Linked DNA regions of Rhinolophus ferrumequinum. The protein of the gene in region 2 interacts with the protein of the main gene of each other region in a pairwise test. Links are inferred from orthologs where the notes say so. Each region holds a gene or a part of one and is shown on either strand. Other genes may lie near its edges.

What was found.
Region 1: the proteins of CARD9 (region 2) and FAM161A interact in binary tests that used the Homo sapiens proteins (3 or more experiments, as listed by UniProt). The two-hybrid records come from large-scale screens. The link is inferred for Rhinolophus ferrumequinum from reciprocal best matches to the Homo sapiens genes CARD9 and FAM161A.
Region 3: the proteins of CARD9 (region 2) and TCL1A interact in binary tests that used the Homo sapiens proteins (3 or more experiments, as listed by UniProt). The two-hybrid records come from large-scale screens. The link is inferred for Rhinolophus ferrumequinum from reciprocal best matches to the Homo sapiens genes CARD9 and TCL1A.
Region 4: the proteins of CARD9 (region 2) and TCEANC interact in binary tests that used the Homo sapiens proteins (3 or more experiments, as listed by UniProt). The two-hybrid records come from large-scale screens. The link is inferred for Rhinolophus ferrumequinum from reciprocal best matches to the Homo sapiens genes CARD9 and TCEANC.

The regions. Positions count from the first base shown.
Region 1 is NC_046296.1:27,370,348-27,377,456, forward strand, and holds the start of FAM161A (protein FAM161A), read left to right. Parts: upstream 1-4,091; 5' UTR 4,092-4,408; coding exon 4,409-4,594; intron 4,595-7,109. UniProt on the Homo sapiens protein: Involved in ciliogenesis.
Region 2 is NC_046295.1:82,446,488-82,453,313, reverse strand, and holds the start of CARD9 (caspase recruitment domain-containing protein 9), read right to left. Parts: upstream 3,013-6,826; 5' UTR 1,568-3,012; intron 163-1,567; exon of another isoform or gene 132-162; 5' UTR 79-131; coding exon 1-78. UniProt on the Homo sapiens protein: Adapter protein that plays a key role in innate immune response against fungi by forming signaling complexes downstream of C-type lectin receptors.
Region 3 is NC_046289.1:7,766,681-7,774,216, forward strand, and holds the start of TCL1A (T-cell leukemia/lymphoma protein 1A), read left to right. Parts: upstream 1-4,512; coding exon 4,513-4,629; intron 4,630-7,114; coding exon 7,115-7,285; intron 7,286-7,536. UniProt on the Homo sapiens protein: Enhances the phosphorylation and activation of AKT1, AKT2 and AKT3. Promotes nuclear translocation of AKT1. Enhances cell proliferation, stabilizes mitochondrial membrane potential and promotes cell survival.
Region 4 is NC_046284.1:116,519,770-116,526,746, forward strand, and holds the start of TCEANC (transcription elongation factor A N-terminal and central domain-containing protein), read right to left. Parts: upstream 3,021-6,977; 5' UTR 2,933-3,020; intron 2,916-2,932; exon of another isoform or gene 2,491-2,915; intron 956-2,490; 5' UTR 879-955; coding exon 830-878; intron 1-829.

The DNA.
Region 1 (7,109 bases), on a different chromosome or scaffold from region 2:
TATCACAAAAGAAACAAATTAGAAAAAAGTTATTGGTCATGCAAAGAAGCAGGAAACTATGACCAATAATAGAGAAAACCAAGAGAAACAAACCTAAAAATGACAAATGAATTATCAGACCTTAAAACAGCTTTTATAAATCTTCCATAAGTGCTCAAGGATGTAAAAGAAAATATGAACATGATGAGAGAAGTGGAAGATATAAAAGAGACCCAAATGAAATATCTAAAAATGAAAATTTCATTATCATTTAGAAAAGTACTCTGAGTAGGATTCATATCAGGTTAGACATTACCAAAGAAAAAGACAGCAAACTTGAAGAGAGGACCTTAGAAACTATCCAAAATAAAGCACAAAAAGAAATGGGATTGGTTTTGTGAATTGATTTTGTATCCAAAAACCTTGTTAAACTCTATTACTCTAATAATTTACCTCTATTTTTTGGGGAGATCTACACAAGCAATCTGTGAACATTTGAGAGTTTTTTCTCCCTCTCCAATCCTTATACCTTCCCCCCGCCCCTTTCCTTTCTTTCTGGCTAGCACCTAGAGTACAATGCAGAATAGAAATGACCAGTGAGTGTGGTGGTCAACCTCCCAGGTAGCACCAAATAATTCCTGCCTCCTTGTATCACACTCTTAGTAGTCCCTGTCCCACATTGTACCAGGATTTGGTGACAGCATATGATCAATAGCATAAAGCAGAAGTGACAGTATGTGACTTTAAAGATTAAATTATAAAACACTGCCTTCTGTCTTGGACACTCTGGCTTTCCCTCTCTCCTGAATCATTTGCTCTAAGAGGAACAAGCTGCTACGGTGTGAGAAGATCTATGGAGAGGACTTTGGCCAATAGTTACCTAGGAACTGAGTGAGGTCTGTCAACAACCACATGTTGACTAACGAAGCTCATTAGCTTGGAAGTGGATTCTCCATTCTCAGTTGAGCCTTGAGAAGATCATAGCCCTAACCAATGGCTTGACTCAACCTTGTGAGATACCCTGATCCTGAACAATTCAACTAAACTCCCCTAAATTTCTGACTCTCAGAAACTATGTGGAGTAATGTGTATTGTTTTAGGGTAGTACATTACATAGCAGTAGATAACTAATATAGTGGGCATCTTCGTTTTGCCCATTTTTTTACTGTTAAGATGTTTGCTATTTTGTTTAAATTTTATTTTTGTTTATTGTTAGATGTCCTTTATCAGGTTAAGGAAATTTCCTTTTATTCCTAGTTAAGTTTTTGTTTTAATCATGTATGAATGTCAATTTTTATCAAATACATTTTCTGTATTTGTTGAGATAATTCTATGATTTTTCTGCTTATATTAGTCTTTTTCAAAGAATGAATTTTAGCTTCATTTTGCTCTATTGGAGGAGTGGGGGAGATGCTTCCCCACTGCTCACACTACAAACCAGCAAACAAAGGCTTGGGAAGAAGGGCTCAAATCTTCTTTATTGCACATTTCTTTAATTTCTTCCATTTATCTAATTTCTGTGCTTATTTCCTTCTACTTTCTTTGAGTATGTCTGTACTTCCTCCCCCCCCCTCTTTCTTTTTTTTTTTTTTTGTTATTAGGTTGGATTATTCTCCCCCACCTCTTCGCTTTCTAAAGTATCAGACTATATCTTGGCCTGAAGACTTTCCTACTCCCTTTTTCTTTCACAGAAATTTCCCCCAATAAATCTCTTACACTTCTCCTTCAACAACCCAAAGGACCATCAACTGGTGAATGGATAAACTTAAGAAAGTGATAAAAACAATGTAAATACTGCATATTAAGAGTATGCCTGTCTGTAACTGTCACATTATGAGCAGGACCAAAAAAAAAAAAGGAAAATTTTTCCAGTGTTGGAAAACTATTCTCTCTTTCAGCAAAGAATACTACTCAGCAATTAAAAAGGAACAGACTACTCATGGATATATTCAACATGGATGAATCTTACAAAAAACAAACAAACAGTATGCTGAGCAAAAGAAGCTGGGAGCAAAAAGAATACATATTGTATGGTTCCATTTATATGAAGTCCTAGAACAGTCAAGGGGATGGAATGGGGAATAGATGGCAAAAGGGCATAAAGGATCTTTCTGGGATAATAGAAATGTTTGTATTTTAAGGGTATGATTTCATGAGTGTATGCATTTGTCAAATTTTATCCAACTATACATTTAAGATCTACTCATACTCATTTCACTGTGTTACATCTCAATACAAAAGTGCAAAAACAAGTTGGTTAGAGTGCAGGGCTCATAACACCAAGGTCAGCGGTTTAATTCCCACATGGGCCAGTGAGCTGCGCCCTCCCCAACTAGATTGAAAACAACAACTTGACTTGCAGCTGATAGGTCCTGGAAAAACACTGTTCCCCAATATTCCCCAATAAAAATGAAAACAAAAAAGTGCAAAAACAATTCTTCTTATGATGATTTAAGATGTCATTTTCTTCTTGTAGTTCTGTCCTGTAGGGACAGCTAGGAGTGCAATTCCCAGGCTTTCGGCCTTACGTGGAAAGGTGCTGGCTCAGGTAGTAAATGGCCATCAACTGTGATTGGATGGCCATCAGCTGTGGCTAGTTGGCTGTTAGCTGTACCCAGTGAACCACTGGCCACTAATATAACTGCTGTGCCTACACTAGCAGCAAATGGGGGATAGCAAGAAGACAGTGGCAGAGCTAGTAAGCACGGATTGCAGTTAGCAAGGGGGGGTTGGTTGGTTAGCAGAGAAGTGGACGGAAGGTTGCAGATCGTGTGGATCCTGTTTCCTGTGTCTCCAACCCAGCTGCCAGCGAGAATATAGTGGTATGACTCCACTATCTATGGCTCCTTTTTGGCCTCACCATATCCTGCATTCTTATGTGGCGAGCGGTACCAGGGACCCCACATGCCACCTTGCATGACATGTCCACTTCTGCTTTATATGCTTTGAAGCTATGTTATTAGGTATATATAAATTTAGAATATTGCTGGTGAATGGAAACTTATGAGCTCTTCTACATACATACACAACATGTTCTATTCTATTCCTATCTAATCCTATTCTTGCCTATCCTTGCCTAGTCTTTTGTAGTGCTTCAACATGTAGACACATCTTGCTGTTTTGGGGTCGGGCTTATACCAAATCCCAAGACAGGCACATGCAGCCACAGAACCAGCTGCATGTGAATGACTGGAAGTCCCCACTATGGTCACTTGGGGCATCCATACCTCATGTGCTTTCAACTCTGGCTTCTGCTCCGAATTGAGCCAGTATTTGTTCAGTGTGAGAAGCACACTTCAGCTCAAACCAAGGGCAGCTTAAGGAGGTGGGGGAGTGGGGGGGATTTTGCAGGTGCTCACACACCAGACCTGTGAACAAGAAAGGCTTGGTAAGAAGGGCTCAGATCTCAGAGTTGAGTTCTAGACAGCACATGCTGCACACTAACTTTATGGTGGTGATGGTCCATGGCCGGTTATGGAGCTGGAGGCAGGAGGAGGCTGGAGAACAGAGAGGGAAAGTTACAACAGCCTCAGCCTCAGGAAGTGGGGGCTTAGGTAGCAGGTGGCTGAGGCTGCACCATGTCTGCTATTTTCAGGCTAGGCCTCTCTTAACAGCCACGTGGCTTAGAAGGGAGGTGCCGTTTGAAGCGCCCAAATCTCCAGTGGGAAATGTTAATGGGATGAGATGGAGATGTGGTGTGTCTCTGGTTACTGTTGGGAGCTCGCGACCTCCACCACCACTATAAAGTTATTTAAACCAAGCAGCGAACACCTACATTGTCACTCACTGGTGGGTGGGCTAGGCCCCACCCAACTCTGGGCTTTTATTGGTCAGACCAAGAAAAATCGCGTACCTCGCAGCCTTCTTTGGATTGGTCGATTTCTGGTAGCTCTCAAGTCAATCAAAGTAAAATACCGCACTCTTTTCCATTCTCTGACTCCATGTTAGGGAAGCCATGTTAGGTAGCAGGATGCAAACCTTGCCACTGTTCTGAGACCCCACACAATAATATCCCCTGCTTTCCTCTAACGCCGCCGTCTTCTTTTAACATGTTAGTTCAATGAATGAAAAGGCGCTGTTTTCTTTATTTACAAAACGAGTTGTTTTATTAGTATAATGTGAGAAGTCTGCGTTTAGGCGGTGAGGCGCGAAGCTGGGGAAGCGATGCCCTGTTCTGCCTGCCAACCCTCCAATAAACCAGCAGAGACTCAGTTCTAACTCCCATCATCCAGGAAGCGCCCGCCTTGAAACTCCTGCAGCGTGCGAGGATTTTCAGTAACTTTTGGCCCCTCGCGGCCCTTGTAGCGTCCCTAGTTACCGTGCCCCTAGTAACCGCCCACTCCAAGCAGGGAGTCGCCAGGTAGCTAGAGGCCGCGCCAGCTTCCCAGCCCCGGCTCGGCGCGGGCGCTCAGGCCTCGGCGGCGAGCTGATGGCCGCCTCGCACCCAGCGGCGGAGCTGGAGTCTTCCAGTCTCCAAACCCCGGTAAATCCCAACACCTGGGTGCGGGTGGCCCAGTACCAACGCGAAGACCCGTTAGAGGCTCTGGCGGCAGCGGCCTTGGAGGAGGAGAAACAGGAAGAGCGGGAGGAGGCGGTGCGGCCGGCGCGGGCGCTGGTAATGTAGGGGCGGGACGTGGGCTAGGGTTGGGCGCTGGCTGGGTGCAGGCCGGTCGACCTCCCCGCTGGGCTGAGCGACGTGCTGGGAAACGCGGCGCCCTGCCCAGATCCTCCCTATCCGGTTATCCTGGCACAGCACCTTCTTTCTGGCCCCATGAAAACCCCTCAAAACCGGGCGAGGCGTTGAAAAGTCTTCTAATTTTCACCAAAGAGACTGTTGTAAAAATTTCTTAGCGTTTACTTCACTCTGTTTAGACTAGAGTGCAAAGTACAGAACCTTAGTCCTTATTCTCCAGCATCTATCAGAAGTAGATATTCCCTTTAATTTTTGACTCGGGGAAGACTGATCTACCCCCATAGAGGATAATCTATAAAACTCAGGCGAATCAACTGTACTGTCAGAAGTGTGTTTTGTTGTCACCTTAAGATCTTGGTTATTAGTGCATCTTAACTCGATACATAAGAGGCGATATTTAAAACCATCAAATGTTCAGTGGATACATCAGACACAGATATAGTAGTTAAGCATCCAGAGAAGCAAATTACTGAAGACCCAGTATTTCCTAAATGCCTTTTCAGGTTGGCTTGAGACAGCCTTTTCACTGATACTTTTCAGTGTCATGTGTGTCCTGAACACCTGTCCACCAGGTAGAGGGCCAAGACTGCCATCTGTGCTATTCCCTTAAAATATAGAAACATTGAATTTTAACTATCTACCTGCAGCTATAAATCTCCAGTTAAAGATTCTTAATACTATTTGCCCAAGCCTCTCAGATACAAAACATTATGGTCTACAGGGCTAATAGAAATCAGTAGATATTTTGGAATTCTAATCTCTTTAAACTATACTAAAACCGTTAATCAGAAAATCTGTAGCAACACCTTTTATGGTCAGCATTTCACCAACAGATGTAAATTATTAGAGGTTATCCAGAGTAAGGCTTATTCAGACCCTGAACATGAACCAGAGTGAGTCTAAGGGCCAGTTTCATTCATGATAAAGTTTTCCTTCAACACAACTTTAGTAGCCAAGAAAGGAGACAAAGTGATGGAGGAAAAAAATTTGAATGGAGTATTTGGAGTCCTGATTATATGACCCATTCTCTGCTATTTGCTAGATGACATTAAGATGTAATTTCCTTCAATCTCTGTTTCTGTATCTGTAAAAGAACTATAATAATTGTCTCTCTTTCTTGCCTCACTGGGATATTATGAGAACCAAATGAGAGAATGTGTGTCGTATCTAAATAACAGTTTGTATAAATTAGTAATAATAATAACTACTGCCAGTGAGACTGTCATTTGAACAACCTGCCCAAAGATTAAATTCTATTTTGGATTGCTGTGGTAGAGGAGTCAGTTATTTCTATAGTTGCAGTATACTTCCATAATGCCTTATCAAACTGCAAATTTGTATTAGAAACTTAATTACTTTCAGAGAGATTAGTTTCAAAGGGACAGAATCCTACACCTCCCTCCCCCCAAAAAAGGAAGTTAAGTCTTATCAATTTGACACTGTTTGTGACCACTACACTTGAAGGACCCAAAAGCAAACCTGGACAATCTGCTCCTTATTGCCTGATAACCAGAGGATACTGGGGTGGGGAAAAAAGCACTGAAAAGGCAGGAAAGAGAGTGCGGGAGCCAAGCTGGCTTGGGTCTGCACCTTGATTTTTAAAGGTTAATTTGGCTCAACTTTGTCATCTATAAAATGTAGTAAACTCAGATACCATAGCCATCACACAAGATTGATTAGAGAACCAACTGTCATAGTAGGCCTCTTCCGTTTGCCAAAGCCCCCCTACCCCTTGCAAGACTGCCCATACTGGGCACTGAGGCATGTTCCTTGAACCTAGCCTCAGCTGGAGATATCAGTTCATAGGCTTTGTTACATGGTTGATGATGACACAGGTATAGCAGTTAAAATTTCCACAGTTAAAATTTCACTGAGTTTCCTAATGGGGTCTCTCTCTCTCTCTTTTTCAAAATCAAATATTGAGCATTTATTAAAATTAAATATTGAGCTAGTCACTGACTCTTCAGTGGTGAATGAAGCAAACATAGCTCTCATCATTGCAGAGCTTCCAGTCTGGTGGGGAGGCTACATAATAAAGAAAAATGAACAATGAACATAAGATGGGAAATTTTGGAAAAGAAATTAACAGGTTACTATGATTTTTAAAAGAAGTAGGAGGGAACCTATTTAAATGAGTTAACATTTAGGTCAATGTCTGATAAATGAAAAAAAGTAGCCATTTGAAGAGTAGGGGTGGGAAAAACATTCCAGGCAGAGGGAACAGCATATGCAGAGGCCGTGAGATAGGAAAAGCTTTGTATGATTAAGGATCTGAAAGAAAACCAACAAGACTGGGAAAGAGTGAGGGGAAGAAAGGGAGAGGGGAAGAGAGTAGGTTGGCGAGGTCAGCAGGGCCTGCTCGTTCAGGGCCTTATTTGACCAAGTAAGGAGTTGAGTGTTTATTGTAGGTGGGTGGTCCTTGAAGACTTTTAAGAGA
Region 2 (6,826 bases):
GTCTATGGTCGAGATGAGCTTCACCCTGAAGCCTTCCAGGGTGCTCCAGCACTCGTCCTCATTCTCGTAGTCCGACATGGCGGCAGGAGCGGCTGCAGTCTGGGGCAGCAGCTGGGAGGCACACCCGCTCGCTGAGCGGTCAGTCCCAGCCAGGACCCAGGCCTGCCATCACGATGCCAGCCAGGGCTCTGGGCAGAGCCTGACAAGGCACCTGTCCCCGTGTGCAGCCTCAGCCCACACCCTCCCATCTTGGCGACCAACAGAGGGAGGCGGCAATGGTACAGTGACCTTGTTCCCCCCAGCCTTTCCTGGGCTCTGCTCCCACACCCCCTCACCCCCTGGCCCTCTTGGGCTTTCTCCCCGAGTCACTGGGTGAGTGTGGGGGCACAGTGTGGAGATGCTCCACGGACGGGTGCTAAGAAAACACTGTCCTCCGTGCATGGCCGTCCTTGTGCCTCTGCCTACTCCTGGACACCCCAAATGCCACAGAGCTGGAGCTGGCAGGGAGGGCTGCCTCCCAGCCACGAGGTTGTGGGCAGGAGGAGCTGTTTGTGCCAGGTGCTGCCTGCTGGCACAACCTCCCTGGCAGGTGTGGGGAGGGACGCTCCAGCCCCTGGCCAGCCAGTGCCCAGTCTGTGGTCAGAAAGCACGTTGACAAGTGACCCTCCCACCTGCACACCGCCCTGTGCTCTGCCAGACTTCCTCATTCCCCGACTCAGCACCCACTCATGTCCCAGTCCTGTCCCCTCCTTTCCTTCCGGTGGCCAGCCGGTGATGCAACAGTCACCCAGCAGCTTTTCCAGGGCTGGCTGCTCCGAGTCTGGCTCAGTGACACTGCCGGGGAGGGTGACCGTGGACGCCTACGGAGCACAGGCCCAGCCACACTGGGAGGGGCGGTGGTGTCTCCCAGGGCCGGCCGATGTGCTGCCTCAGTGCCTGCTCCAGGTGCTCGGGTCCTGGGCTCCTCTCCTGCCTCCCAGACTCCGAGTCCACACACTCTAGACCACACGCTCTAGACCACACGCTCGGGGACTACCTATGCTAGGACCACCCACTGCTGTTCCCTTCTACCAGCAGGCGGCAAACCGCTCTCTCCAGGGCCGGGCCAAAGCCGGGAGCAGCCATGTGGTGGTTGCACCCCTCTGGGGGGTGGGGACGGAAATCCTGGCCCGGCCACCTCAGACAGAGCCTTCAGTCCCCAGGAACTAGACTGCGCTCCCAGAGGTACAGGTGGCAGCAGGCCTGGTCCTTGAGGCATTTCTCTCTTACGCTGCACCTGGCCACCCCACCCGGCCCAGCAACAGCCAACGTATTGAAGGAAAACAACAACTCGGTGGATGGTCCTTGGGACCTTCGGCCGTTCCCTGCCTTTCTAGCCTAAAACACGCAGGTCCCACACCTGCCACCCTGCTGCTGGTGGCACTGAAATGCACCGGCAGGTTCCAGTGGCTGTGAAGGGGACAGAGCAGGAGAGAGGAGGCCACTTGGTGTCCTTGAGATATTTGCTCCAGGACCAGCTCCCTGCCCCAGAAGCGCTGAGCAGAGCCGCAGTGTCTTCCCAGCCTACCTCGGGGTCCTGAGGGGGCACCGTCGCCGCTGGACGCCGGCCAGCCTGGGCCACCCGATTCGGGAGGCAATGGGAGGTGTGCCTGCAGCCGGCCGAGGGAGGGTGAAGCCCGGGCGGGAAGCCTGTGCTTCCTCCTGACTCTTCACTCCAGGGGCCCGGCCACTTCTCCAGCAGAGGAAGGTCCCAGGTGGCTGCGTTCTGATTGGCCAGCCAGGGCCCCGGAAGGCGGGGCAGACAGAAGTGGAAGTTGATGACATTCAGAGGAAAGCTGCTGGGAGCAGCCCGGCCCTGGCACCCCACAAAGTGCAAGTTTGAGCAAAGGGTCTCCCTGGGGCTGGACGAGGCTGACCCACCATCAGGTCTGCCTTGGTCCAGACGCAGGCTTCTGGAGGCTTCTCCAGCAGGGGGTGCTCTGTGCCTAACACCTTGACCTCCAGCAGCCTCGTGGGGACGAGCAAGGCCGGCACGGGACAGGCATACATACGGGGTGTAGGTGGGGAGACCTCAGCTGGGGACTTGAGGGCATCAGCCCTGACTCTGGCCCCCAGCTGAGCGCCCCCACACAGCCAGGCCAGGCAGGCTTTGGTCACCTAGGGACTGCAGTGTGGTGCCCAAAGGGGCTGGGGCTGGGGAGGCCGCTGCAGGCTGCACGCGGCCCCGGGCCTGCCTGCCTGCCCCACACTGCAGCTCGCTCAGCCTCACCCCTTCCTGGGAGCATCTCCACTCTGCAGCCCCTGTCCACCAGCGCTGATGGGACAGTGGCGGCAGCCTCCCAGGACCCCGATGCACTCCCCATGGCCCATCACGCGTTTCCGAAGGGTGTTGAGCACAGAGTGAAGCTCAGGCCCTGGCCACGGCACCAGTCCTCCGTGGGCCGTCGGAATCCCCAAGCTACCGCCTCACTGGGGCAGCCAGACGGGTTGAACCGAGTTGTCACCTGCCGGGCTAAGATGACAGCTACTGGAAGGGGCTGTGGCTGGAAGGGCAGGACTGGCAGGATGAGCGTCTGACTGGTGTTCCTGGCCCACCTTCCCATGGCACCACACCTCAGCCTCTGTTCCTCTGCCTCCTGGCCCGACAGGCACTTGCTGTTTGGCCGAAACCTTGGGAATCCTGACACGACCAGGTGCTGCTGCGTGGCGGTGGCAACGTGACGGACTGGCCCTCTCAGAGGACAGCAGCGGCCCGACATCACCCTGGAGGAGTGGGTGACCAGGGGTCCTCCCAGGCCCTCAACGGAGCAGCCCCCAGGCTGGGCCCGCCACAGGAGTGGGTACGTTGCAGGTCCACTGTGACCTGACATGCCGGCCTGTGCTAGGCCCTCCACTACCCACTTTCCCCACTTGGTCAAACAAGACTAACAAAGGGGCACGAAGTAACAATATGCTGTGTTCTCAGTGCATCAGGGTTATGCTACAGATCAGGAATAAAGCTCCCGGGACAGGCCCTGCATACTCGGAAATTAAATACACGCTGGTCAGGGACCCACAAATCAGAGAAAGTCACAAGGAGAACAAAATGGGTGGGGAGCACTGCGCACAAAGCACGCGTGTGCACACACAGGCAACCGAGTGACGAGTGGCCCATGGGAGGTGTGACACGTGGTGTCTGGTGGGAGGGAAGGGAGACAGGTGCCTCGTGGGAGGCTGGGGGCCAGGACACACGCTGAGCACCTCAGAGGCTGTAAACCGAACCCCCGCCAGTGTTCTTGGCCGAGGGATGGAGACTGTGCTGGGGCTCAGTCTCACGCTGAAGAAACGCCTGCACAAGAGGAAGAGCGCCTGGGCAGCCTGTGTGGTCCGGACGGCAGAAGTGGGTCCCCCTCGTCCCTGCGGTGGCACCCAGATGGCTGGCAGCCACGAGCGGTTGTCGTAAGGCGGCCGCTGCCTCCTCCCCCATGCCCTGCGGAGGCCCAATCCCTCTGCATGTCGTCTCATAGCTCAGGACAGACCACAAGACTCTGTGGCTTGCTTTTTAATTAAAAAATAGGACATTTACTTAATTCCTTCAAATATTCCAATTTGCACTTGGGACCAGGTGAGCCTGTGACAACGCCGTCACTGTGGGCAGAGCCTACCCGGCCCCTGGCCGCTTTCTCCTTCACGGTGAGCGGTGGGATCCCGGGCCGGGTGGCCCCGCCCCATCGCAGCAGCTGTGGGCATCCAGGCCGGGCAGCCCTGGAACACAAGGACACCTGGGTGGAGGGCTGTCCTGACCCCGCCAGACCCCCGAATGGCCCTGTGGAGGAGCAGGAACCAGAGTGGCACTGCGCCCTGTGGGAGAGGACAGGTCATGGAGCACGGGGCGGGGGGGGGGCTGCAAGTGTAATGTCCCCTTTGGAGCCCCGCCCCCTCCTAGTCCACAGTCCGAGGAGCCGGCTCCCGCCTCGGGGGACCTGCCGGCCATGGCCTCCTCCCTCCCTCGTCTGTTTCATGAACTCCGCCTGTGTGTGCTGAGCACCTACTCAGTGCCTGCTGTCTGGGCTCATGTTCCAGGCAGACAGTGGACAGGCCGTGGCCAGGCAGTCACGGAGTAGCAAGTGCATCAGGACAGACATTGGGATGGCCACGCCGCCTGAGGACGGTGGTCAGGGAAGGTGTGTCTGAGGAGCTGACCACTGAGCAGAGGCCAGGATGGAGGGAGGGGACAGCAGGAAGGAAGTGCCAGGAGACATGTGGCAGTTGAAGATTAGCCTCCTGACCCTGGACCCACCCTAACCCCACAGAGCCAGGCACACAGGTGGCCTAGCCCCCGTGCCCCGGGCAGAGCTGACGTCAGGGCCCCGTCCCTTCCTGGTGCCAGGCACCAGCTTCCCACACTCACCCTGCTGCTCACACTAGCTTCCTCCGCTTCCGGGTGTGTCGAGCACGCCGGGTCCTGAGCACATCAAAGTCGTCATAATCGTTTGGGCAAGAGGGGGCAGAGCCCTCGCCAGGGTCTGGGGCTCCCTGAAACAAAACCCAGGTGGGGGGACAAGAGTGACCCTCCAGCTGGGATGGGCAGCAGCAAGGAGCCAAGGGGCCTGTGGATGCCGTGTCCCCAACACCTGGGACAGGCAGCTCCTCAGGCTTATGCTTGCAAAGAGCAGTTCCCAGGCAAACGGCAGTGCCAGCAGCAGCAGGTGACCCCAACACACGCACGGGCTATGGCAGGCAAGGACCGGGAGGGATGCTGGGGCCACCTGTGGGCTCTGGCTTTCTGCTGACCTCACTCCCCCCTGGGGTCTCCAAACCCCTCTCCATAGCCGAGAGCCAGCATCATGTGTCATGGTCCCCCTGGCTGGGCCAGCAGGGCAGTGACCTGGTGGCGATGGAGGCTGCACATACAATGGGGGACAGGGAGGCTCTTCCCTGTGACGTATGGAGTCCAACAATGTCTTCCACTGCACGTCAGCCCAGAAGACAGCCCTGGGAGCCCTAGGCAAGGCCCCAGGGGATGGAGGTGACGTTCCCAGCAGGCCAGGGTGGACTGAGCCTGCAGGAAAGGTGGCACAGGCCCCAGCACCGCCCTGCCTCCTGTGTGGCCATGGCCGCCCCAGGTGGGGAAGTGGGGGGACTGCTTGTGGAGGTGATCTCTGGGGGGGGGGCATCGCATGCTCCCCACACAGCTGCAAGGGCTCTGGACAGCCTCGCTGACATGGCACAAAGTGCCCAAGGCGGTCCAGCTCTCCTACTCAGCCTGGTTAGGACAGAGGCGCCTTCCTGGGGACTCCTGGGCACACACAGCCACAGAAGATGTGGGACACCTTCCTGCGTGTGTTTTTATCAGGTTTCTGGTTGGGAAATCGGGATGAGGATGCCGCCTCCGCAGCTTAGAAAGCCTCCTGACGGGGACGGTGCCAGAGCTGACACCTGGAGGGATGTGGCATCCACAGAAGAGCGTGTGCAGGGCTGCCTTCTACATGGCTTCCAGCCCCTGCATGTGAGGGGCGTGTGTGTGGGGGAAGCCTGGCGCCTAGGCCACTTTCTCCCTGACAAGCCTCATGGCTGGCAGCCCCAAGAGCAGCTGGGGATCTCCCCATGTTAGAAGTGAGGTTCCTTTCCCCCAATTCCCACACTGGCCAAAAGGGGTGGCGACGGCTGCACCACCTACACGCCACCGGGCAGGCTGGGAGCCAGCTTCCTCCTCCCCAGAAACCCACCAGCTGTCTCTCCTGGCCACGACTTCCACTTGCTCTGTCCCCAGCCCCCACGCCGCGCACTCTGGGCAGGCCACACACTGCAGGTAGGCAAGGGTGTCCTGTGGGGAGCAGGGAAGTGGGGTGAAGGCTGTGTACCTACGGCCACCTACCTGAGCAGGGCTTGTGGCCGCCGACCCTTCCTGGGGACTGCCGCTCGCCCAGCAGCCTGGCTGCCTGTGGCCACCAGAGAGCTCCAGCTGCCCCACACCGTCGTCTTCACTCTCGCTGTCCTCACTCTCGGGGTCTGCCCTCATGGCTGCTGACAGGGTGGTGGGGACACCGTGAGGGGACAAGGTGGCCAGGAGTGCGGGGAGGGTGAAGGTCGCCAGGAAGCGCGTCTTCAGCAGCAGGTAGGCTGGGCTGTGCTGCAGCGGTCCCAGGGAGGCCTGCGCGGCTCCCGCTGCCCCACCTGCCCCACCGGGCACCACCAGGGCGGCGGCTCTTCGCTCCAGTGCTTTCTTGTGGAGGAGGAGGCCGGACAGTGCGCGCAGGCTGCACAGGGAGGGGGGCTGGTAGGGGAGCCTGCTCCTCAGGGGGGGCACACACACCCCCCGCTGTCCCCTCAGCCACTCCCGCACAGCCACCTCACTCTCCTGGGAAAGGAGACCTAGGTCCAGGGCACCCTTCTCAGGCCCAAGCCGGGGTGGCGGTTGCCTCTGCAAGTCTGGAGGCCCCCTGGTCTCCCCTGGCACTGAAGGGGACCCCGGTGTCCCTCCCGGGCCATCACCACCATGTAGAGGCTGCTGGTTGGGCCGTGCTGCAGGGTGGTCAGCCAGGAGTGCAGCCTGGGAGGCTGTCTCCCCAGCCACTTGGGCCTCTCCAGGGGAAGAGTGTCCCCCAGGGGCACGGACCCCGTCACTGTCCACTTTTACAGGGCTCTGGGATGGCAGGGGTGTCGAAGGGGTCACGAGGTCTGTCCTGGAGCGAGGCTCTGAGTCTGTGCCCATGTTGACCAGGCCCTGGCCTGCCTGAGTCTCAGTCAGGGAGGGTGACAGAGTCACCAACAGCCCTTTGGGGTCAGGGGTCGCTGCCGGCTTGGAAAGGCCCACCATGGCTGGCATGGGCACGGACAGCAGCCC
Region 3 (7,536 bases), on a different chromosome or scaffold from region 2:
AGTAATGCTGTGGGTATAATCCCCAAAGTGTGAAATAATCCTAGGTTTGAGAAACGCATCTGATACAAATGTAGGGGAACATTAGTGTGTGTCTGCGCCATGGGAGCCACATTTCCAGCTCCAATTGTCCATTGCAAGTTTACTACATGCTGCTGACTCTACCAGCTTGTCGGGTCACCCCCTTTGGTGCGTTTTGAGTAGGGGGTCTGGGGGCATTGGCTTTTGCGTTTGTGCGCTGTGTGTGTACTGGGTTAATATCAGGTCTTGGGACTCAGAGGGGGCTCCCAGATCATCAGCCTCACCTCGAGCTTGTTGGAAATGTGGTATCTCAACCCCACCCTCCGAATTAGAAAATGCATTTTGACAAGATCTCCACCCACACCTTAAAGTTTGAGAAGCGCTTAAAACTTAAAACTCTGTTAAGTTTAAAGAGAGCAATAGTAGCCACCTGTGGGTAAAGCCAAGCTCGGTCCAAGTTTTACGTAGAATATCCTTGTCCCAGCTTCTCCATTAATCGAGAGGTTAAATTTCATCCTTTTGGATAAAAGCTATAACTTCCTTTTTACCCTGACTTCACTTGATCATCCGCCCTAATTATCTAAAATATGACCCAGACTTAGGAATAATTTAAAAACCATTCCAGGTGACCAGCATGGACGCCTTGATATCTACATATCAGAGTTTCTACGTTTTACCTGTTGGTGAGATCTCAGACCCTTACAATTCTAATCATCTTGGTGCTATGGTCCCCTGCACACACAAAACGGGAAGCAGGAAACTAAAAGTAGGGCACAGGGAAAGAAGTAAAGTGCAGGTTTGGGGTGAGGTATACAGTGAGAATTGACGGTAGAAAGAATAGCTTTAACATTTTCACAGTTATTTAGTTTTATAAATCTTGTTCCCACCTCAAAAACAGTAATTCAAATCATAGAGACGTGATTGTCAGACTGGCTGCACTTTAAATTAGCAGAGGAGACCCTAAAAAAAGAAAAGTTGTACCCAAGCCTGCATCTCAGGAATTCTGGCCTCATGGGTATGGGGTGGGGTCCAAGCACAGTTGTTTCACAAAAGCTTCCTAGGTGATTCTATTTAGCAGTCAGGGCTGCGCTCCACTAGCTTAATGATTTGGGGCCATTGCAGGGCCCACAGGCCTGGATGCCTTTACAGGCCCATTACAGCTTGCTGTAATCATGGGTGATGGTTACCAGGATTTTCTCTAAAGAGGAAAACACTTGATATATTAGCAGCAATTGTAACAGAACATAAGATAACCTAGAACTAAATGATACAGAGACACATATTCAGCTCTTGGGTCACAGAGAAATCTAGAGGGACTGGTGGAAGGAGGCCGACACCTATCATCTCTCCCTCCTGGTCCTGCCTCTGTAACGTGCCCATGAAGCACTGGGGGATCTTGTTACAGTGCCGATTCTGACTCAGTAGGTCTGGGGAGGGCTCGATATCCTGCAATTCTCATGAACTTTAAGTGATGCTAACGTAGGTGGTCCGGGGGCCAGCCTTCAGGAAGCAAGGCTCTGGTTCCTACTGCTGGCCATGACTCACCCTCAAGGACCTTCTTTGGAACCCGACAAGAAGGATGGCTTCCTCACTCAGGAAAAATGAATTCCACTGGAATCCTTGATATCCAGAACCACTGTGCTCAAAACTATAGGCTTTCCTGAACTAAGGTGTCATGTGGGATGTCATGCGGGGTCTCTGGTCCCACTTCCCGTATAAGAACACAGGACATGGTGAGGCCAAAAAGGAACACCCACGGAGCCATAGATAGGGGAGTCATATCACTAGAGTCTCGCTGGCAGCTGGGTTGGAAACACAGGAAGCAGGAGCCACACTATCCGCAAACTGCCGTCCACTTCTCCCTGCCAATCCACCTCACTTGCTAGCTGCAATGCGCCGTGCTAACTGCAATCTGCGCTTGCTAGCTCAGCCACCATCTTCTTGCTAGGCCCTCATTTTTCTGCTAGCGTAGCAACAGCAGTTATATTAGTGGCCAATGGCTCACTGGTTACAGCTGACGGCCAACTAGCCACAGCTGATGGCCATCCAATCACAGTTGATGGCCATTTACTACCTGAGCCAGCACCTTTCCACGTGAGGCCGAGAGCCTGGAAACTGCACTCCTGGCTCTGTCCCCACATAAGGTCGCGAATTAAATCTTATCTTCTGTTAACCGTTCCCTCCTCCCACTAGGCAACTCTATCAGAGGTTCAGGGTCTGTTAGTTAGACATGGGCTTAGAGAACACCTAGCTTGGCCCATTCATTACAAAAGTGTGGCAATGAGATGGCAAAGGATGGCAAATTTCACAGGTCAAAGTCCAAAGTGGATCCAAGTCAGGACACAACAGCATCAATTAAGAATTCTTAAAAAAAAAAAAAGTCAAAATAATTGCTTTGCGTTACTTTCTGCATGAAACATCCACTTGATTATTCTCAGGGAGCTGGCAGACTAATAAACAAAGCGTTGGAAGGAATACAGAACGCTAAAGTGAGACTGACGGGCTGTAGAGCCCTAAGATGGGGCTGAGAACATGCTGGAAAGGCTCCCTGTCTCTGAGACCACACGACAGACGTTGTTTCCCCTCTCATGAAATGCCATAGAGAAGGCTCCTCATCAGCCTTCTTTCACTTTTCATTTTCTGGAACCCCTTCTCAAACGATTTTCTAAATCCTTCCCAATAATGACGCGTTCTCTTACGCAATAGTAAGAAGCCCTCGTGTGAAACTGAAGAAGTACATTGTTCTTTCAAAGACGGGGATCAAATTCCCAAAACATTCAGAAAAGAAGTGTAGCCAGCCAAATGGGTCTGATTCTTGTCCCATTATGTGTTCCTTTGTGGCGTCTTAGGAAAGCAGAACAACTGCTAATGAAATCGACAGACCCGGTGGCATTCCGGGTCCCGGAGCCATGGATGTGGCTGCGTCAGTGGCCACATGGCTCCTGGGTGCCCGTTCCCTTGCCACAAGAGGCCACACTAGCAGTATTGTTTAAACTGAACTCGTTTACCATTTTCAACCTCAAAGCTCAGGAGGAGGCTGAGACTCCCCCACAGAGCGTATTACCACATAGTCTCGGCTGCCAGGGGCTATCTGGATCTGGAAGTAAAAACAACCCCCAGGGAAATCAGCCTGAAAGCCACAAATTTGAATACTATTAAGTACTAACACCACTAGGGGCTGCACTGGGAAAAAGCTTTGCTGGGCTGGCGTCTCCTCCCTCGGCTCCCAGTTTTACTTGGTTTTTGTCTTCCATTTTACATTCCTGGTAAATCCAATTATACCTCTATTACTGGCGGCCACCACTGCCCCTTCTTGGGCTGTCTGGATAGGCAGAGAAGTAGATACATATCTTTGCTGCCTGGGGATCAGATAGTCACCTCACTTTCATGACATTTAAGAAGACCACAACTTATTTTCTAGGTGCCTAGTCAGAGGGACAGGAAAGAGCTAGGATGAGGCACCAAACTGCTACCAGTGGTGATTTTGGAGCACTGAGGCTGGAGTGCGTTTTACACATTTCTATTTTGCACTTTATTTTCTTAATCGCTTTGACGGACACGTGTTATGGCAAAATGCAGTAAAATTGTTTTCCTTATTTGCTGTAATTTACAGAGAGACAGTTTGGTCATATAAGCCAGGGATTTTTTCATATCCATCGGAGTCTTGGAGTGGAGGGAAGGGTTTCTTTTCAAGTATTGATTTCGAACATTTTCAGTAATGAATTCAAAGCCTATAAAGAGAAAAGCCCTGTTTCTTCACCACCATGTTTCACAATAGCTATTAGATGCGCACAGCAGCATCAAAGCTGTGGAAAATGCATGGCTTTTGTGTAGAAGTGGGAGCAGGGCTTCAAAAGTCGCACTTCGCGGAGGAAATTGATTGTGACACCCAAAGCCACAGGCTGGAGGTGATGACATGACCTGGGGGAGTCCAGGCCCTGTTCCGGCTTGCAAGGGTCCCTTCGGATCCCAGCAGACATGGAGTGGGCGCTGGCTCTGGGTTGCCTGGTGTGGGCTGTGAGTCACGGAATGGGGTGTGGCTCGAAGAGCCACACACCGTGGGTGATGGGACAGTGGGGTCCTAGAGGAGGGCGCCAGCGCTTCAGGACAGAAGACAGGGCCAAGGCTACAGACCAGGGTACCTCCGCATCAGTGGAGAGTTGGGGACAGAGGGCAAGGCCGGCTGGCCTCCAAGGATTCCCGGGTCTGTGCGCTCAGACACCGCCAGGATCCAGGGCACAATTCAGGACTTGGCGCAGGCGCAGCTCCGGATGCTGTGGGTCGCTCCACCACGCCCTGGGCCTGGCCCATCCTGCCCTGCGCAGCTGCCTTATCCTGCCCTGGGCCCCGCCTGCCTTGCTTCCCATTCTCCTCCCGCCCTGCCGCTTGGGGGCGCCCGCGCCATCCCGCTATAAAGCGTCTAGGTCCTGCGTCCCATCAACAAGCGAGAGGCCTTCGGAGGCTCTGGCTCTTGCTTTAGAGCGCCGGAGGGTCATGGGCGAGCTCCCGTTCAGCGTGCAGACGGCCTTGCATCCCGACCACCTGTGGATATGGCGAAAGGCCGTCTATGTAGACGAGAACCAGCGCACTTGGCTGCCCATCTCCATCAAGGTACAGCCACTCCGGGGCTGGGCTGGGCAGGGCAGGGCAGCATGGGTGTCACCATCCCTGGCCAGCCCTTGGGTGCCAAAGACGTCCCAGGCTGTGCACGGCTTCCAGGAGCCCCTCAGGTGCAGCGGCAGGGAGGCTCAGAAGGCCTGATCTGCTCGGGGCTCACAGATGAAACCATTTTGAGCTGGTCTCTAAGGAGAAGTAGTTCTCCAGGCCAGGAAGGAGTGTGGGAAAAAGATATGTTGGCCAAAGAATGGGGACCCAGTGCCTCGGGAGTGTGTGAATGTGATCTTGAGTAAAAGAGGAATTTTCTGGGTTTCAGGGTCCTAAGCCATAAAATGGGAATAATATCTCTCTAAAATAATTAATACGTGCATCCGATTATCAGTCTCCTTAGGTGCGCCCCAGAAATCGGTATTTTAAAAGGACCCTCAATAGATGTGATCACCAAGTTTGTGAACCACCGCCCTAGAGTTTGGGGTAAACAGACTTCACAAACTTATATAAATAATATAGTAGTATAAAAGCCAGTATTAAATAAATGTTGACTTTGTTTTATGTGTGATGACTTAAGGTGGAACTTAAGTTAATGATAACTTTTTTTAAAAAGAAATCTATTTCTCTTTAAGTACTTTCCATCATAGCATGGGTTGCCTCAAAGAAAATTAGGTGGAAAATGCAGAAACTTTCCATATGTAAACCGAAGTAAGAAAGTATAAAACCAAAGTTAAAATATGTAATATTAGAACTTTATGTAATAGCAAATAGCAAAAAGTTATTGAGTAGTGACTGTGTCCCCATTTTACAGGTGAGGAAACTGAGGCATAAAAATGTAAATTTGTCCAAAGTAACACTGCTAGTTAGGTAATGGGGTTGGGTTTCCACCATCTAAATTTGCATCTTTATTGGTATATATGTATATATATATATACTTTTTAAAATCAAGTAAAATATTTACTTTTTTAAGTCAAATATTTAAAACAAATTTAAGTGAAAATCTTTTTAATCTCCAGCTGGGGAATATCTTCTTCAAAATGACTGAAACCACAAAGCAGAGTTTTTCACATAATCATTATAAATTCTGCACAAAACTTAATGCATTAGCAAACAGTGCGACAGGATTTACCTTACGTAACTAAGACGCGTATTCTTAACATGTAAATCAACAAGCAAAGGATGAATAAGCAAACTAAAAATGGTTAAAGGATATGGAAGACTATGTACTAACACAACAAGAATGGTGATTTCCACATCTACACCTTGCAGAATGATCTGAATTATTTTTTAACCCTGAGTTCTACTTTCATTCATGGACAGAAAACTTTTAGAGGCTATTTCCACTTTGGAAAAATAGTCGTTGAACACACATGAGTGCCTAGTTTATATTCCAACAATGATTCTAGGCCGTGGGGGTTTGCAGTGAATGGGATAAAAATCCCACTACTTGTGAAGGTGACATTCTACTGGGCGAGAAGGACCATAGATAATTGAGGTCGGTGTTAAGTTGTGTAGGAGAACAAAGGTGGAATGAGAGACAAAACCAGTGGGGTGTCGGGTCTTCAGGCAGGACCCCCAGGGAGTCTTAATTTCCATTGGCTTGTCATGCTTTTGCCCATTTAATTTGAAACCTTCTGGAACCTCTGTTTTAGGTATGCCTCTTGTGTATATCTAGAATTGGATTTTGCTGAAATTTGTCTTTATAGAAGACATGCATTTGAGTAGATTCCTGCCTAAAAAAAGGGTGTGAGTCCCACTTAGACCTAGGGGAGAATGTTCCGGGCAGACAACAACAGGTGAAAGAGACTACTGGGAGTGTCACACGTCCCAGAAATAGTGCAGAGGCTGTGTGGCTGGTACAGGATGGAAAGTGATGGACAGACGGTAGGAGAGGAGGGAGACAGGCCCGGCTACGTGGGGCTGTGGGCTATGGTAAAGATGTCAGTTCATTCTGCCTCTGATAGGAAGTCATCGGAGCGTGTCCAACAGGGAGGGGAGTGACATACGTGATTGTTAGCCACACACCCTGGCTGCTGTGCCGAGAACTGACACTTGGGGAGTACAGGACCAACCAGGCGGCAAGTTAGGAAGTCATCGAAGTAGCCCAGATGGGGATGGCAAAAAGTGGTCTGTCACCTGATTCTGGGATCCAGGGATATCTTGTTTAAAAAAAGATATATGATAAAATAAAGAAAATCCTACATCAGCTGAAGTAGGCACCAAACCGCAGAGTTAAGGAAGCTCAAGGGCCCCGTGGCACAGCCTAGCTACTAGAAGTTCGTCAGAAAAGTGGGCCTTTGTGGCCCTGTCTGGATGTCCTGGCCCAGCCAGAGTCCCTGAGAGCACGTATGGCTTAAGGAATAGAGTTTCTAGAACAGTGCTTCCCAGAATCTCAGATGCCAGCCAGCCAGGCGAGTGGCAGGAAGAATCTAGTTATTTGTTCCTGGGGGAACCCTGAAGGTGTGCTCTGGTCTTCATTTCTCTTCAGACAGAAGATGGCCTCCGAGTACTCTTACGTCAGGAAGACATCCCCCGGGGGGAGGCTATGCGCCCCAGCCAGCTGCCCCCCAGCCCGCTGCCTTTGATGTGGCAGCTCTACCCTGGCAGACGGTACCGAGGCTCAGACTCCAGTTTCTGGCACATAGTGTACCACATTCAGGCAAGTGTGTGCTTCTGCCAGGGACCCGTTGGGTCATCTTGGGTGGTCCTACTGCCCCTCCCCCACGTCTGGCCTCTGCAGTGTATCTGTTCCCTCCTTTTCTGCACTAAAAAAAAAAAAAAAAAGAGGAGGGAATTTACAACTGCAGATTTTGAAAGGACTGTATTGAAGTTAGAAGTGAATGGTCGGACTACCCTGGGAGGCCTCTACCAGAAGCCCCCTCAGCCGCAGGAACGCCTCTGTGGAGGGAA
Region 4 (6,977 bases), on a different chromosome or scaffold from region 2:
CCACAAGGACAGACACCGGCCACTAAAGGACGCAGGAAGAATACTGAAACTGAACCTGGGTCTGCCACCATCGGGCCAGCTCCAAATGCGTGTACACTGCCTTCACTCTGATTCATGGCGCTTTGTTACAGGGGTCATCTTCCAGTACAGATCTCAGCAAGATAGTCCTTTATTTCCCCCCTTCAAGCCTGTCAGAGGTTCCCCTCTGCTCTCAGGATGGAGTTAAGGTCCTTGGTCAGGTGATGAAAAGCTGCCTTCCAGCCTCCTCCGTGACCCCACAGAACCACCGACAGGCACTGCCCATTTCACAGCTCTGAGCCTTTGCTCCAGGAGCTCCCTGAGCCTAGCCTGTCTCTCACGATGAGTCATTCTCAGTCCTGAATGCAAATCCGAATCATCTGGAGAAATTAAGGAGCAAAAACAAAAACAAACAATGCCAGGCCCTTGTTTGATAGAATGGTAATGAATTAGAATCTTTGAAAGTAGGCCTGGGTATTGTCTCAGTTCTCCAGGTGATTCTGATTTAAACCAGGCCTGCCACCACTGGAGAGGCACAACTCCCTTCCTGCAGCAGGCCCGTCCCAGTTATGCTGTAACAGTAACAGTCACGCTGTAACTCAGCCCAAGGACAGCTCCCACCCTGCTCCTAGACGGAACACACAGAACCTGACTTCGGGTTTTGCTAGATGAGTGACATTAAATCAGGAAATGTGAAAAACATGTACTGTGCCCAACTCACCTGAGAGCCTTCCTACAAATAACAACTGGTGACTGTCATATTTAAAATGACACGATGCCCCCAATTCCTCATGTTCATTCCCTCACTTACCTCTTAACAGTGGAAGACAATGTACATTTATTGAGCAACTCCGTGCCATACACACTCAGGTCATCTCAATCCTCACAAGAACCGAGACAGGTGTACAACTTATCTCCAACTTACGGATGACGAAACCTGTAAAAAACATCAAGTATTTGCACATTGTTTTATATGGTCCGTACCATGTTAATTTTTTTTTAATTGTCTGTCTTCCCCACAAGACCCTAAGAATGACATTTGTTCCATTCACTGATACACACCTGGCAAACACCTGGCCAGTGCTCACTATTACTGAACAAATGTTTTTTGTTAAATGACTAAACAGCACCCAGGATGCTCTCCTCTCTGCTTGTGAGCTTCATTCTGGTCACTACAGATCACCTTGCTTGTACCCATTGCACCTAAGCTCAGCGCCCCTCAGCTTCTTCCACGAGACCAACCTCATCTCAATTCTAGTTAAAAGGTCATTTAAAAAATTCTAGTTCAAAAACAAACAAACAAAAAGAGAGCATGGTGCCTACTGTGGACTAATCAAGTGAGTTCCAGGCGTCAAGCCATTTGTGAATAAGGAAGGTCAAGAAGATACAGTTCCCAGAAGTAAGGAGTATTGAGAACATTGGGTAAATTTCATGACCATTTTGTGCCTCAATTTCCTCATCTACAAAATGGGGGAAATCCAACATCCTAGGATTAATATGAAAATTAGACGAGATAGTCCTTATGAAGTCCTTAGAAGTGTATGCCTGTTACACTGTAAGCCTGACTGACAATTACGCAGGACTACAATGAAAAGGCTTACATATATTTACCACAGCAGGCATTGTTCTGGAACAGGGGATTAGCAAACTTTTTCTGTAAAAGGCCAGATAGTAAATATTTCAGACTTTGCAGTCCATCAAATCTCTGTATGGACTACCCAACTCCAGGCTCTTATGGAAGAACAACAGCCATAGACAATACATCAATGAATGGGTATGGCTTTGTTCCAATAATTATTTTTTTCAAAGACAGGCAGGCTGGATTCGGCTGCAGGCCAGTGTTTGCTGATTCCTTTCTAGAGCAATGCTTTGTTCAATAGCAATGTAATGCAAGCCACTGACAGAATTTAAAACTGTCTAGTAGCCATGTTAAAAAACAAACAGGTGAAATTAATATTTTATCTAACCCAGTGTATCCGAAATACTGCCATTTTAAGATGCTATCAATATAAACGAATTACTGACATATATTCTTTTTCATACTGATTCTCCAAAATTCGCTGTTTACACTTACTGCAGAACTCAATTCGGACTGGGCACAATTTCAAGTGCTCAACACTTAGGTAGCTAGTGGCTACCATATTGGACAACACAGTTCTAGTGCATATGCGAATATAGATGCTTACATACCTATACCCCTACCTTCTGAATACGTATCAAAAATAGAGTTTACACAGCACCAGCAAGAGTGGGCCATAAATATCCGTGGACCAAATGCACGTTAAAAGCTTGTAAATATTAACTAATACTACAGTATGGGCAAGGTACATACACCTGGCCTAAACCCTAAAGGGGAAAGATCAAAGAAAAATTTCCAAAGGCTGCTAACAAATCAGCTGGAACCTAGATCTGTTTAGGCCTTTAGATCTAAGATCTAGAGAGAAAATTTAAGTTTCCAGCCGTAACACATACACCTCTCCAGTTACACAGGGAGCCCCTCGTCTATGGAGAGAAATGATGCCAAATGTTGGTAGGGGCGTTGCAGTTCCTGAACAGCCACTCAATACTGCGCTGGGGTCCTCTCACGTCAGGATGATCCCTAGCAAAGGTGCAGCGAGTGCGAGGGAGCAGTCTAAGGGCCCGCTCTGGTCCGGGTTCGGGTTCGGGTTCCAATGGGTGTGGTGCGACAAGCAAAGCCGGAGGCAAACCGTCCCCGGGTGAGTCTGGCCCCCAGCCCAGAAGCAGCGGCGGCACGGAGCAATCTGCCCACGCCGCGACCTCCGCTGGAGAGGAGGAGACGAGGGCACGTTCGGGCCTACCCGGCCCAGGTAACACCGAGAGCCTCCCCAAGCAGGGGTGGGTTTCCCCAAGCAACGGTGGACAGAGACCCCAGCCAACCCGCAGTGTGTCTCACCGAGAAGCGCAGGCGACGCCTACGTGCCCTCACTGACCCCCTCGCCCTGAGGGAACTTCCGGTTCCCAGGGCGGGACCACGGCGGCTCAACCAATCCAAGCCCGCAGACCAAAGAACGCAGCCTGGATCCAGCGCGTGCGTGCAGTGGAGATGGCGCCTGCGCAGAGGGTCAGCGCCCGTGGGCCCGCCTCTCCGTGGCTGGGTGGCGGAGGCCGTATAGTCCAGCATCTCGGCATGAGTTGAAAAAAACTAGCCCGGCTAACGTTTTTGGGCAGCAAGATTTGTTGAACTACTCTGTAGCCTATCCTTTTTGCTTCCAGTCAAGACAGTGCTCAGCTAAATGTTGACAAAACTTTGGACAAAAATATGAATTATTTATTTAACGCAGTAATTAATCCAACAGTATTTACTGCACCCCTAGCATGCATCAGTTTGATACGAAAGTAGTAGACATTCATGAAGTAGCCATGTGCATCCCGCGCTAATCATCTATACACATCTTTCCGTGCAAGGGTTCAATAAAACCAAAGTGATGGTAGAACTAGAATATGTGGCAGCCTTCTTTGCTGATCCCCTCCTATAAGGTAACTTGGGGGAAGGTTCAAGGAAGCAGGGCTTTACTCTGGATTGAATGCTGTCAGGAAGCAGGTGATTCTATGATTGAGCAATGTAATAAACCTTACCTAGAAGGAGGGAAGACAGACCAAGGTTACATTTGTAATTAGTAAAAAATAAAAGTAAACAAAACCCAGCAGCGACTCAGTTATAAAAACTGTTGAAATACTGCCGGTCCATCCTGGATATAGCCTAAGAGATTTTAGTTTTAAAAGGCTATTGCAATAAGATTGTTTGAATCACAGAACAGTGCAACACGTATAAATCTATGGAACAGGCTGGGCTCCGTAGGGTGCACGTACGAAGAGACTCTTATTTTTTTTCTCACTACTGCCTTGAAACAACCTCTGTGGGCTCTCTCCCCTGCCCATTGGTTCCTCCAGGGCTGGAGCTTGAGGCTTAAGTAAATCCCACAGCTTTTCCAATGACTCTCAGGTATAAAGAAATAATCTTATTTTTAGGTTGTTAAAAAGTCCATTCTAATCTAATATAAAAAATTCAATTATCCAATTAAAAGCTCCGACCTTTCCTCAGCTCAGGTGTGGTCTGTAACTCTGGGACAGCAAAGGGGAAAGACATGGATCAATTCCTTCACCGACCTTATTGCAACCTTTCCGCACTGCCTCCACTATTTTCTGGTCTCTCTCAGGTGAGGGCAGGAGGAGGAAGGAGCGGTAAAACGTCCTCCCACCAAAGATAGATACGTACCCCCAGAATCTCTGAATATGACCTTATTTGGAAAAAAGGGTCTTTGAAGATATAATTAAGGATCTTGAAGTGAGAGCATCCTGGAATACCCAGGTAGGCCCTAAATCCAATGACAAGTGTCCTTATAAGATACAGAAAAGGAAATAAACACAGACACAGAGGAGAAAGCCACATGAAGATGCAGATGCACATTGGAGTTGTGCAACCACAAACCAAGGAATTCCTGGAGCCACCAGAAGCTGAAAGAGGCAAGGAGGGATTTTCTCCTAGAGCTATGGAGGGATTGTGCTCCTGCCAACCCCTTGAGGTTGGACATCTGGCTCCAGAACTGAAAAAATTAAATTTCTGTTATTTCGTACAATGAATAATGTTGTTACCTGGTATTGGAGTTCTCTGTGTGCTGATGTCCAAATGCTGCCTCTTTTGTCCTTTTGAGATTTTTTTTGGAGACACCCCCCCCACCCCTGTTGCTGGAAGCCCCTTCTCACCTATTCTCAGATGATACACTGTCTGGTTGAACACCAGCTCTTGCTTTTGGTGGCATGTCCCCACCCGGCCTTTTTCTGTTGTGTCACCTCATTGCAGACAGGCCTCTTGGGCAGGGTCCTTCCAAAACAGCCGAAGGCCAGCTGTTTGCTTGATGTGCACTTAGCCGAGGGGAAAACCCCAGCCATTCTGCCCTTCACTAAGCCCTGGAAGCTGAGGCTGCTCCCTCTGCAGCCGCTCTCTGCCCTCACACTGTATTTCCCTGAAAATAAGACCTAGCCGGACCATCGGCTCTAATGCATCTTTTTGCTCCCAAAGACGCATTAGAGCTGATGGTCCGGCTAGGTCTTCTTTTCGGGAAAACACGGTAGGTAGCCGTAGGCAGCCCCAGCTGGCTTCTCACCTGTTGAGTTTTTCGGAAGAGTTGAGCACCGTTTCTTGTGCCCTTTCACGACAGGAGAACCTGCCAGTCTCTCCAAGTGGTTCTCTCAAAGTCCCCTCCACTTGCCTGGAAGGCAGGAGCAAGCTTCCAGAATTGGAACAGCCCTCTTTCACTCTTGCCTTCTCTTTTACATAAGCTGAAGAGGGGTGAGGGGCCATAGATGGCAGAAGTAGTTTGGGCTCTCCACTTAGCCTTGTGTAAGTGGTCTGGCATGTCTCTAGGATCAGTGGGTACTTAACAGTGTGCTCAGTTTTGGGGCCTTGGGCGAAACTCCAAGTCAGGAAGAGTCCCATTTAACATTCTCTTGTACCTGTAGTCATCTTTAGGCCATGTCCATACCTCTTGTTCGCCTTTCCCACACCATGAGTCCATTTTTGTTGTTTCTCTAGAATGTGCATTATTCTACCATAGATTTATGGCAGCAGATTAGCAGAGAAACGAAGGACCAGGAAGTCTGGCTTTAATCAATTCTTGGTGCAGATCATAGAATGGAAATTCAGAGGCAATGAGACAATATTTATACTACTTGGTTTCTGGGGATGCTTCAAAATTCCATTTAATCAGGAAAATATAGAAAAGGTACAAAAAGAAATAGGATGAAAGGACGCCAATTCTATTCAAAAACCTCTGCCTGCCTACTCAATTGCCGTTTGCACTGCTGTGAAGAAATCTGAGCTGAAGCCTACCCCTGGGATTTCATTGTCAGAGTGGCTTGTTACCAGAAGGAATAGTCTGCCAGTGATCCTGATATGTGGACTGCTCCAAGAAATACCTCACTTCATTTTGGTTCTCAGGTTTTTCTTTTAAAGGGAGGTCGTTTTGTAACAGCAGTTCATCAGAGTGGCAAGACATAAGCATTGAACTAAAAATCATTGGCCTGTGCTGCTTCTTTGTCTTTTCTTCTTGCATCATGTAGCTTCAAGGCTCATTCTCATGGATTGACACTGTACACACCATGCACAGCCCTCCTTTCATGATATAACCTGGGCATGCTGCCAGAAGGGACCATTCATCAACAACGACAATAATAAAGGATAACCATGTTCACTCCAGGTCTTCTAAGTCTTCAGGGGGAGACACATTTGGCCAGAAGTGTACCATTCTGATTTACGGTGCCCAAGAGAAGCATTTTTCCATTTCAGCCTCATTTCCTCCCCATAACGACCTAACACATTATACTTGCTGTATCATTGACTCATATAATAGTTTTTATTAGTTGTTCTTCATTTCAAACCTGATGCAAACACCACCTAGTTTTCTAGCTGCTGGAGAGAATGAAGGCATCGACTCCTTTGTCATAAGAGTAAATCATTTAGATTGGTATGTTGGCTGGGACAATGACAAGTACTCAATCCCAGCTTTTATGTGATGGGGTCCACGTGGTGGACATCGGTGGGTTTGGGCCAATAGCTTTCAGCCCACTTCCTGCACAGCCAATCAGGTGCCCCAATTTGCCCTAGCCAGGGGGGCAGCCACATGACCCAAGCTGAGCCAATTGCACAACCCTCCCCAGAATAGGTATTTTGAGCAGAGTAATGTGGACAGTAACATGGTGACAGGTCATTCTGGCAATGGTGGCATGCTGATCAGCAATGGCTTCCCCCATAGCTCTGCTTCTAGCCCTGCAGTCCATTTCTAAGGCTGGATCACTGGTCTTCCACCTGCCTGCACACTCCTGCTTCTTTGCTGTATCCTCCCTTTGCTGTAAGTCAGCTGAGATCTGTTTCTGTTGCTTGCTACCAGCAAAGACTGACAACAGCCCCTGTCTTAATGTAGCTGTGAGATTTGAGAGCC